2 linked regions of the Arabidopsis thaliana genome follow. The protein of the gene in region 2 binds, or shares a complex with, the protein of the main gene of each other region. Each region holds a gene or a part of one and is shown on either strand. Other genes may lie near its edges.

The links.
Region 1: AT1G54010 (region 2) and JAL22 share a complex: the UniProt entries of both Arabidopsis thaliana proteins name them as parts of the PYK10 complex.

What each region holds. Positions count from the first base shown.
Region 1 is NC_003071.7:16,413,279-16,418,642, reverse strand, and holds JAL22 (jacalin-related lectin 22), read left to right. Parts: upstream 1-1,797; 5' UTR 1,798-1,864; intron 1,865-1,905; exon of another isoform or gene 1,906-2,312; 5' UTR 2,313-2,319; coding exon 2,320-2,520; intron 2,521-2,843; coding exon 2,844-3,305; intron 3,306-3,578; coding exon 3,579-4,037; intron 4,038-4,126; coding exon 4,127-4,381; 3' UTR 4,382-4,609; downstream 4,610-5,364. Other genes in the region: AT2G39320 (Cysteine proteinases superfamily protein), read left to right, coding at 126-152, 252-326, 472-691, 804-1,051. UniProt on the Arabidopsis thaliana protein: Inhibitor-type lectin that may regulate the correct polymerization and activation of BGLU23/PYK10 upon tissue damage.
Region 2 is NC_003070.9:20,158,058-20,162,915, forward strand, and holds AT1G54010 (GDSL-like Lipase/Acylhydrolase superfamily protein), read right to left. Parts: upstream 2,808-4,858; 5' UTR 2,691-2,807; coding exon 2,432-2,690; intron 2,141-2,431; coding exon 2,022-2,140; intron 1,668-2,021; coding exon 1,199-1,667; intron 1,111-1,198; coding exon 797-1,110; 3' UTR 532-796; downstream 1-531. Other genes in the region: AT1G54020 (GDSL-like Lipase/Acylhydrolase superfamily protein), read right to left, coding at 3,748-4,043, 4,149-4,401, 4,482-4,682, 4,756-4,858. UniProt on the Arabidopsis thaliana protein: Involved in the control of the PYK10 complex size and possibly substrate specificity. May be exported from the endoplasmic reticulum upon interaction with MVP1.

The sequences.
Region 1 (5,364 bases), on a different chromosome or scaffold from region 2:
TATTGATCGATTCTTCTTGTAAACTTTGTTCCAATTATTTTTTTGCCTGATAATCTCTGACTATATATGTTATTTCTTATTCTTCCTGGATTTTCAGATTGGAATGGGAAAATTACACCGAAATCATGATGAAAAGTGATGGAAATTGCCAGGTAATTAATGTTTCTATATCAAACAATCAACTTGATATATATTTTTGATCGTATTATGAATAACCCTTTTTCATGTTTTTGTCAATAATTCTATTTCAGTTCCGTGCTTTGGCGGATCAACTTTATCAAAATTCGGATTGTCATGAACTTGTTAGACAAGAAATCGTAAAACAGGTAATATCAATCTTCAAACTTTTGATTGTTTTTTTCATACGTGTATTAATGTCATATGATGATTGATTGATTGATGACTCTCAGCTTAAAACTCATCCGAAGATTTACAAAGGGTTTGTTGATCATATGGACTTCTCCCATAAAGAACATGTCATTGTCCACTAATTCCCAATGGGGCGATGAAGTGACTTTGAGAGTGGCTGCTGATGTGTATCAAGTAAAAATAATACTCATTACATCAATCAAACTTATTCCATTTATGGAGTTTTTGCCCAAGTCTCAAAAGGAACCGGACAAAGTCATTCATATGAGCTATCTAGCTGGGATCCATTTCAACTCCATCTACAAAAAAAATAAAGAAAAAGGTTAACGTTCTCTTCCTTCTCCATTGTATATACATCTCATCTCCTTACTCTTGATTTGAGGCTTTGAGCAATATTGTATCATTCTTATTCTTCGTCTTGTTGGCTGCTTCAGGTTCACGTTCATCTTCATCATCGAGTTCTGCAGTCTGGATGAAGCTACAGAGGAAGAAGGAGAATGAGGCGAAGAAAAAGGAGGAGGAGGAGAAGGAAAGGAAGGACATGGAGAAGGAGGAGAAGAAAAAGGACAAGGAGGATAAGAAGAAGGATAAGGAGGATAAGAAGAAAGCCAAGGTGCAGAAAGAGAAGAAGGAGAAGAAGGAGAAGAAGAACAGAAATCACCACTTTCACTATTCTGAATGATTTGTTTTGATAAATTAAGTGTATCTGCATTTGACAAGTTGTATGTTATTATTGGGATCATTGTGGTTGTTTTGACTCTTTTATGTTCTTTTCGAGCTTATTCTAGTTTTGAGCCTTAGATACTGATAATCATAAAACACAACATGATAATGTGAAAGAGTCATCATGACATAACATCAGCGTCCCAAAATAACTTGACCATCGTCTCCATGGTATCCAACCGTCGATCCTCAACGACTCCAAAAAGCAAGGACATGAATATATGATGATGATAAGCCAAACTTTTGCATGAACACAGTTTATACAAAATTTAAATAACTGTTAAATTCATTTGAAACTTTAATGAATGATATTTCTGACAGTAACTTAGGAAATAAAGCTTATACACCGTTTTAGTTTGAAGATAATAATTCTAAATCTGTTTTCAAAATGTGCAGTCAAAAAGATTCTTAATACTAAATAGGAGATTTTGGTGGGAATCGCAACATTAACATCATCAAATTTGTTTTAGTTAACAATATATTGAATTTGGTTTATGCTGTTTTGATGAATTGTTTTGTTCATCTGTCGTACTTTAAAATATCTCTGCATCTAGAAAGTTGTATGCTATTATTATATATTGCACTCGTAATGGACTCTAATTATTTGTTGCATTTGTGAGGGAGTCTCTCGTGTCACACGAGTTGATTATTAAAATGATTAATTAAAGACAATCAAGAAGACCTTGTATGCCAAAGATTGTCAATAAATACACACAATTCAATACCCATAAGCTTCATCTCCTTCCATCATTCAGAGCTCAATAATTAACTGGTTATCTCTCTCCCTTCAATTTTTTTTTTTTTTTTTTTTTTTAAAGTAACTCCTAGTTTCCACTACTATGTATGTTGCTTCACAAAATGTTTTTAAAACAAGAAGTAGCTCTTTATATGTAGATATGTATTCTTGAATATATTAGATTTAACAAACACTTTTAAACCTAATTGATTGATTTATATTACACCACATCACCAATAATAGAGCTATCAACATCAAACAGTAAATATTTACCCATGATCAGTTGATTGTTCTATTTGTGTTTCTTGGATCATTTTGGTGTTTTTGCTATGTATTTGAATAGGCTATACAGTGTTATCATGGTATTTATGTATTACTAACCACAAACCAGCTTTAAAAACTATATATAAAGCTGTACATATATACTTTCGTTTTTGGATTATCTATATAAGAAGTAATTTTTGCATTTTACAATATTTTTTAGATTCGAAATGGCGAAGATGTACCGGAAGTTGGCACTCTGCGGTGGTGAGGGAGGACAAGAATGGGACGACGATGTATATGAGGGTGTAAGAAAAGTGTATGTAGGGCAAGATCTCAACCGTATCACTTACATCAAGTTTGAGTACGTGCAGGAAGACGGCGAAGTAGTAACAACTGAATATGGGACAACAAATCAGCACCCTAAAGAGGTTCTCATTGCATTTATTCTCACCCTTAATTTTTTGCGATACTAGTAAATTACTCTTGTGAATTCGGATTAACGTTGGATAAATCCTTTAAGACATAAACAAGAAGAAGCAAGTATTTCTGAGGCGGATACCCTTTAGTGACTCTCTAATTTTTTTGTATTACACTACTTGTGTAAATGAATAAGACACAAACACTAAGACAACGTTATAAAACCAAAACTCAGATACTGTATATTAGGACTAGGAAATCTTGAGAATTATCCTAAACCTATCAATATTAAATACTATAAATTTTATTGAATATATGTTACTATTACATACAGTTTGTAATTCAATACCCGGACGAACACATCATAGCAGTGGAGGGAAGTTACCACCAAGTGGCTCTCATTGCCACAGAGGTGATTACGTCCCTCGTCTTCAAGACCTCAAAGGGTAGAAAGTCTCCATTGTTTGGTCCAAACTTACTTGGAATTACGACCGGTACAAAGTTTGTTTTTGAGGATGAGGGAAAGAAGATCGTAGGGTTTCATGGACGGGCAGGTGATGCTGTCGACGCTCTTGGAGTTTACTTTGTATTGGATACCACGCCGTTCCCTCTTTACAAGCTTGATGCCCAAGGTGGTACAGACGGGCGTGTTTGGGATGATGGTTCTTACGATGGCATTAAAACGCTGCGTATTGATCAAGATAATTCTCGTATCACTTATTTAGAGGTTGAGTACGAGAAAGACGGGGAAGCAAAAACATGTAACCATGGGGGGAAAGGAGATACACCATCCGAGGTAACTTTACTAGTTCTTCTTATACACGACTAGTTCAATAATTTCTCAAAAATGTTATAAATTGTTAAACTCTATTTATATGTGATCATTAGTACAACGACATAAATTAGGTTCCAAATATCAATGATTAATTATTGTGTTTGTAGATTCTTTGCAGTAGTATGAAGTATAACTCTCACACACTCCGGTTCAAATTTTTGTAGATATAATTGACACATGTATTTAGATCTCTTAAGACAAAAAGTCTTCTTATTTTGTTGCTTCTTGTTGCAGTTTGTGCTTGGTTACCCAGATGAATACATCAAATCGGTGGAAGCAACCTATCAGAAGCCAAACATTTTTAGCAATACGGCAATTACGTCACTTAAGTTCTTAACATCAAAGGGGAGAACATCATTCTTTGGGTATAATGTGGGTAAGAAGTTTGTGTTGGAGCAAAAGGGTCATAGGCTTGTCGGGTTCCATGGAAAGGAAGATGCAGCTATTGATGCTCTTGGAGCATATTTTGGACCTGTTCCTACTCCTACTCCCTTGATTCCATCTAAGAAACTACCAGCGATAGGCGGCAACGAAGGAGTTACATGGGATGATGGTGTCTACGACGGTGTAAGGAAGATACTTGTAGGACAAGGTAACGATGGTGTATCCTTTGTCAAATTTGAGTACAGTAAGGGCAAAGACCTTGTACCCGGAGATGACCATGGGAAGAAGACATTACTCGGAGCTGAAGAGGTCATTTAAAAACAACAATTTTTTTTTTTTTTTTTCAATTCATTCTAGATTATTTACACTTATCCTTTGTTGGTTTTGAATCTTTGCAGTTTGTGCTTGAAGATGGTGAATATCTCATGAACATAGATGGCTACTACGATAAGATCTTCGGAGTTGAGGAACCAATAATTGTATGTCTTCAGTTTAAGACCAACAAAAGGGAGTCAATGCCGTTTGGAATGGATTCTGGTAAGAAGTTCTCGCTTGGAGAGGAAGGCCACAAGATCGTTGGATTCCATGGACAAGCTAGTGATGTTGTTCACAGCATCGGAGTCACTATCGTGCCCATCACCACCACCGAGTGAAAACCAGTTAGTCATATATACTACATGAAACTTCCAATAAGATTGGAGTGTGTGTGTGTGTGTGTTCTCTTTACTATGTTACTTTTAATACGTGGTTGTAAGTTCAAGTAACTTACTGTGTGCTAATAATTCCAATAAGATTGGCTTGTGATTTCTTGTTATTTACTGCCAAAAAATTAATCTGGTTCTAAAAATCTACATGCCTATTAATTTCAATAAATCCCCTAATCAATTCTAGTTATTTTATTAGTTAGCATAAATAGAAAAAAAATACCACATTATTATTACAAATCACTAAGATTTATTAGTCCACATTATATTTTACTGATAATTATCAAAGCATGGTACTATTTAAAACCTCAAACAAGTTAGCAATTAAAAATCTCACAGAGACTGATTATCTTATTTGTTTTAATTAAGAGAAAGGCAAAAACAAAATTGAGTAATGCTTGCTTACCAAAATATACAGCTAAAAAAGACAATTTTAGGCCCACAATAAAAAACAATCAAAAAGGCCCGCTCCTTCAAAAAGATTTAAAAAGTGAACGGACTCAATTTCCCATATTACCCTTCATTGCTACTCGAATTTACGGAGAAACCCTGTTTCTCTGTCCTTACGCCTTTCTCTCTCCGTTACACTGCCGCCGTAACGCTTTCTTCCTTCTTGTAAAAAAAGTCTCTCCGTTTAACTAAACGCCGTAAAAAAACTCAGCTTTGATAATATCGGTTTTGATTTTTGATTGAGTTTCCCTCCATATCTCCTCGATTTCCGATTTTGAGGAATCAATCTCTCTGTTTATACGGTAAACTTCATAACTCCATCGATTTTTTGGTTTCTCTATTTTGAATTTCAAACAAAAAAACTGTTACTGATCCATATTTGTATTTGATTGATCGTAAATCCTCTGAAAATTTTCTTCTTTGTTTTCTTCGCCACTGAGAGACTCAGGTTCGATGCTCTGCTTCGTTTTTTAAGGTTTTTT
Region 2 (4,858 bases):
AGAATAATTGCAAACAAAAAAAGAGGGTAAAAAAGGTCTCAAATTGAATCCACTACCTTCTTAAATTGATTCCACCAAAATTTATCATTTTGTTCTAATGGAGTGCATGTGGCCCGAAACTTGTCTAATCTGAGCACAAAGCAGGTCATTGGACACGCTTTGGTTCATATTGTCAGGTTTATCACGTTACTCATTGAGATTTTTCTTATGGAAAAAACAGAGTTGAGGTTACATTATTATTTTAAATCTCAACAAATTAATAACAGCGCATTTCAAATTCCAAGAGCTCGTTCATGGTATAGAGATGGAAAATAGTGAGCTCAAGAACTAAACGAGTTAGATAGATTCACTAGCATCGACGTCGACGTCATGGACTAACGATGATATTCTCATCCATTGGATCCTCCCAAAACTCACGCATAGGCTCATTAACAGGATACACAATGAGCTCACGAACATTCATAGGTTGGATAACATTTGGGTCCGCTCCAAAAGATAAGATGATGAGAAAACGCTTCTTGTGCCTTCTTTTTTTAATTATGGAATTACCTTTTAATATGTGGTTGACAAAAAAAAGAAATAAATTTATGTAAAAGTTTTGTTTCTTTTAAATAAAAGATTTGCAAGGGGTAAGAGTTGCAGAGATCAATCTTTTATTATGGAGGAAAACTCACTAGAGAAACATGAAAACATTGGAAATTAAAACTACTCAAGATTCCGATATTGATCCAGTTATAATTTGACTCATAACCCTTATAGAAACCCCGATCGATCCCTAAATATTGATTTTAGAGACTCAGTAATACTCGTAACCGCGGCTCTCCCTGAGTTGAACGGTGGCTGACGTTGGGGGCACCCAAGACTCACGCATAGGTTCATCGGCAGGGTAAACGACAAGCTCACGGATGTTCATCGGTTGGATAACATTTGTATCGGCTCCAAAAAGAAGATGACCAAACATCTCTTGCGCCTTCTCAGTGTTGTGACGTCCGTCGAAGAATAGGTAAGACCGTTGGTACTCGCATAGCCTCGAATGTACGTTAGGAAAACCGCAACCATAAGCATCATGTGTCCCAACTCCGCAGCACGATGCGTTCGTAACGAAAAATCCTAAGAATGGCAAATATTAAACACATGGTATTAGAAGTTATAAAAAAATTTAAAAATGAAATTAAACCATGATAATTAACCAACTCACGGAAGTTTTGGTTCCTCTGCGTCCTAGTAAGAATCGCGTTGTAGAAATCAAAGACGGTGAATTGGAAAGGAGCTGATGCAGGAGCTGTTCTAGCCAATTCGTTCAACATCGGTCCAATTTTTTCGTTGTGTTGTTTAGCCAAATCGTTGAGTTTCTCATAGCATTGATCCATCCCGGTGTTGAACTCTTGTCTGACGATGGGTAAGCAACCCAATGGAGCTAGGGTTTGGATCACAAATTTACTCGCTCCTGATGAATACAACAAGCTGATATCGTTCTTTAACTTGTTGGTCACGGAAGTGACAAAAGCTTGTTGAGTAGATGCATCGGCGTTAGGGTTGTTCTTGGTGAAATTCAAGTAATCGTTTGCACCAATGTATATCATAAACACTGACTTCTTCACGAAATCATCATTCCAATTTGCTGCTTTCATTTGATTGAACTTTCTCACTTGTTGATTCAGAGTCAACTAAAAAAACAAAAAAAGACAAAAAGACAAAATTATAATTGCAGTTAAAGTCAGATGTCTTTAATAAAACAAAAATATGCCGTTTAGTATGATCCAGGCTAGTCCATAAGACAGGTCAAGCACATGCTTTAGACCAGAAGATATATACTAAATCATTCGCCAAAAAAAATAAAAACAGTAATTTGGTAAAACCTTTAATATATTTTATATCATTAAGAAGGCCATCTTCCAATTGTGCTAAGGCCACCTGAAGGTAAATTAAGGACCGGCTATGTATGACCGGGTCAATAAAAGACAGACATGGTTCATTTATTTTGAATAAGATGATTATAGTAAGAAATTAAGTTGACTTACAGATTCCACCGGAGCTCCGAGTAGAGTAGCATCAGCGACGGCGAAACTAGCTCCACGTGAGACATTGACGTTCGGTTGAAGGGCCGGCGGGATCACGATCGGAATCCTCATGAATTTAGCTGCATTTTGTACATTAAATATATTAGGTTTTCATATAATACAAATATAATCTCCGAATCTGTTAACGAAAAAAAATCAAAAAAAAATCCATGTGTTTCGAAAAGTGAATACCAGCTGAACCTTTTTTATTTTTAAAATATTTTAACCGTTATTTTTAGTAATTAACTAATATCCAACACTCGTCATTTGTACTAACGTTTTAAATGATAAAAAATATCATTTTGCATGTTTTATGTTTTGTAGAATTCGGATTAAGATCTTTCAGTTATACAAACAAAAAAATGTCGCACCGAGGAAGTCTGGAGCGATGAGGCCGTCGGAGAATTTGCCGTTGGGATCATCTCGGGATTTTCCATACGGCCAGAAAGTTTGAGGGAGTAAGGTTTTGGTGAGAGTCTGTTTGTTTCCGGCGTCGAAGTTGGAGTCACCAAAGGTGAACAAGCCCACCGCCGGAATATTCTGCCCGGCGACGGTGATGGGTTTGTTAAAGAGGGTCAATACCAAAAATACACATAGAACACTGACTAAATTACAGTTTTTTGCCATCATTTAGAGAGTATACAGAGAGAGAGAAAGTGAAACAGAACAGTAAATGAGTAGAAGATTGCTTTTGTGTCTTAGCTCGTAGACCGATACGTTATATTTATATTGTAAATACTACACAATTTGGCAACTGAATTTTTTTTATCAAAAAGATTGTTTTTAAGAAAAAAGCAATTTAGCAATTGAAAAATATTGTTATTTAAATATGAATATATGATAACGTGTTGCTCGAGGTTCATTTTTTTCTTTTTTCTACACACCTAGTTAATGCACAACTGGTATCCCATTTCTATTTTATTTATTCTTAATTTTCAAGATACATTTATTGTTACTAGTATCAAGAAGATCGATCATGCATTGAGGGCAGAAGAAGATTTAAATGCATATTCCTATATTTCAATAAAATATATAAAAAAACATGTCAAATGGAACCTCTCACCTATGAAAACGTAACTAAGAAAATACTCCATGCATTTCAGATCAAGTGTTCGTTTTTTTTAAATACTACAAACTAAAAAAAAATTGTTTTACTATGATTAATTCATTCTAGTTAACACATTAAAACAGTATAAATAAAATTTGGAACTTTAACCAAAATTTTATATTAAAACCTAAAACAACACTTATTATAAAATAATTTTGGAACAGTTAAAAATTGAAACCATTTCCACTATTTCATTACAACAAGAATTGCAAAAAAAAACAAAAAAAAAAGTAAATAAAATGACTCAAGTGAGTTATGTAATTTGAAATCCATAAGTCTTAAATGATTCCACCAAATTCAATCATTTCGTTCTAATGAGTGCGTATGGCCCGAAACTTGTCTAATATGAGCACAAAGCAGGTCATATATATGCTTTGGTTATATTCTCAGGTCTATCAAATTACCCATTAATTGATTATTTTTTTCTTATGAAAATAAGCAGAGTTGAGGATTTAAACAGTATTAATTATTTTACTTCGCAACTAATTAAGAACAATACATTACAAATTCCAAGAGCTCGTACGTGATCTAGAGATAGAAAATAGTGAGCTCAAGAACTAAACGAGGTAGACAGATCCACTAGTATTGGACTAACGATAACTTCTCATCCATTGGATCCTCCCAAAACTCACGCATAGGCTCATTAACAGGATACACCATGAGCTCACGAACATTCATAGGTTGGATAACATTTGGGTCAGCTCCAAAGATAAGATGAGCAAACGCTTCTTGTGCTTTCTCTGTGTTATGACGTGCGTCGAAGTAAAGGTAGGATCTTTGATATTCGCATAACTTCGAGTGCACGTTAGGTAAACCACAACCATATGCATAATGCGTCCCAACACCGCAACACGATATATTCGTCACGGAAAACCCTAATTAGTCATAACAACAAGTATTATTAAATGTTTGCTTCAAAGTAAAAGCATATAACGATATTAATGATAGTGTGGAACTTTGAATGGCGAATTGTAACTCACGGTAGTTCATGTTTCTTTGTGTCCTGCGAAGAATAACGTTGTAGAAATCGAAAACGGTGAATTGGAAATCCGGTTTAGTTTCCGCCATTTCGTTCAAAATCGGTCCAATTTTAGCGTTGTGTTGTTTGGCCAAATCATTGAGTTTCTCGTAACAATTGTTACCGGTTTTAAATTCTTGTCTTGCGATCGGTAAACAACCTAATGGCGCTAGCAAGTGTACGACGAATTTACTAGCTCCAGATGAATACAACAACTGCAATTAATCATTATAACAACATATCTATATCACTAACTCGTATTAATTTTTGATTAGTTTTGGATGAAAATACTTACGTTGATATCACTCTTAAACCGGTTAGTGACAGAAGTAACGAAAGCTTGTTGAGCAGAAACTTCAGCATTAGGATTGTTTTTGGTAAAGTTGTAGTAATCTTCCATACCAATGCTAATCATAAACACTGATTTCTGAATGTAATCCACTTTCCAATTTGATATCATCTGATTGAATTTCCTCACTTGTTGATTCAGAGCCAACTACCAAAAAAATGTGAATCTTTATTATGACATTGCTTTACGATTGATTAACAAATATTTTAAGTGAGCTTACAGAATCTTTTGGAGATCCAAGAATGGAAGCGGACCCGACGGCGAAGCTGGCTCCTCGTGACACATCGGTGCCGGGTTTTAGCGCCGGCGGTAAATCGTGTGGT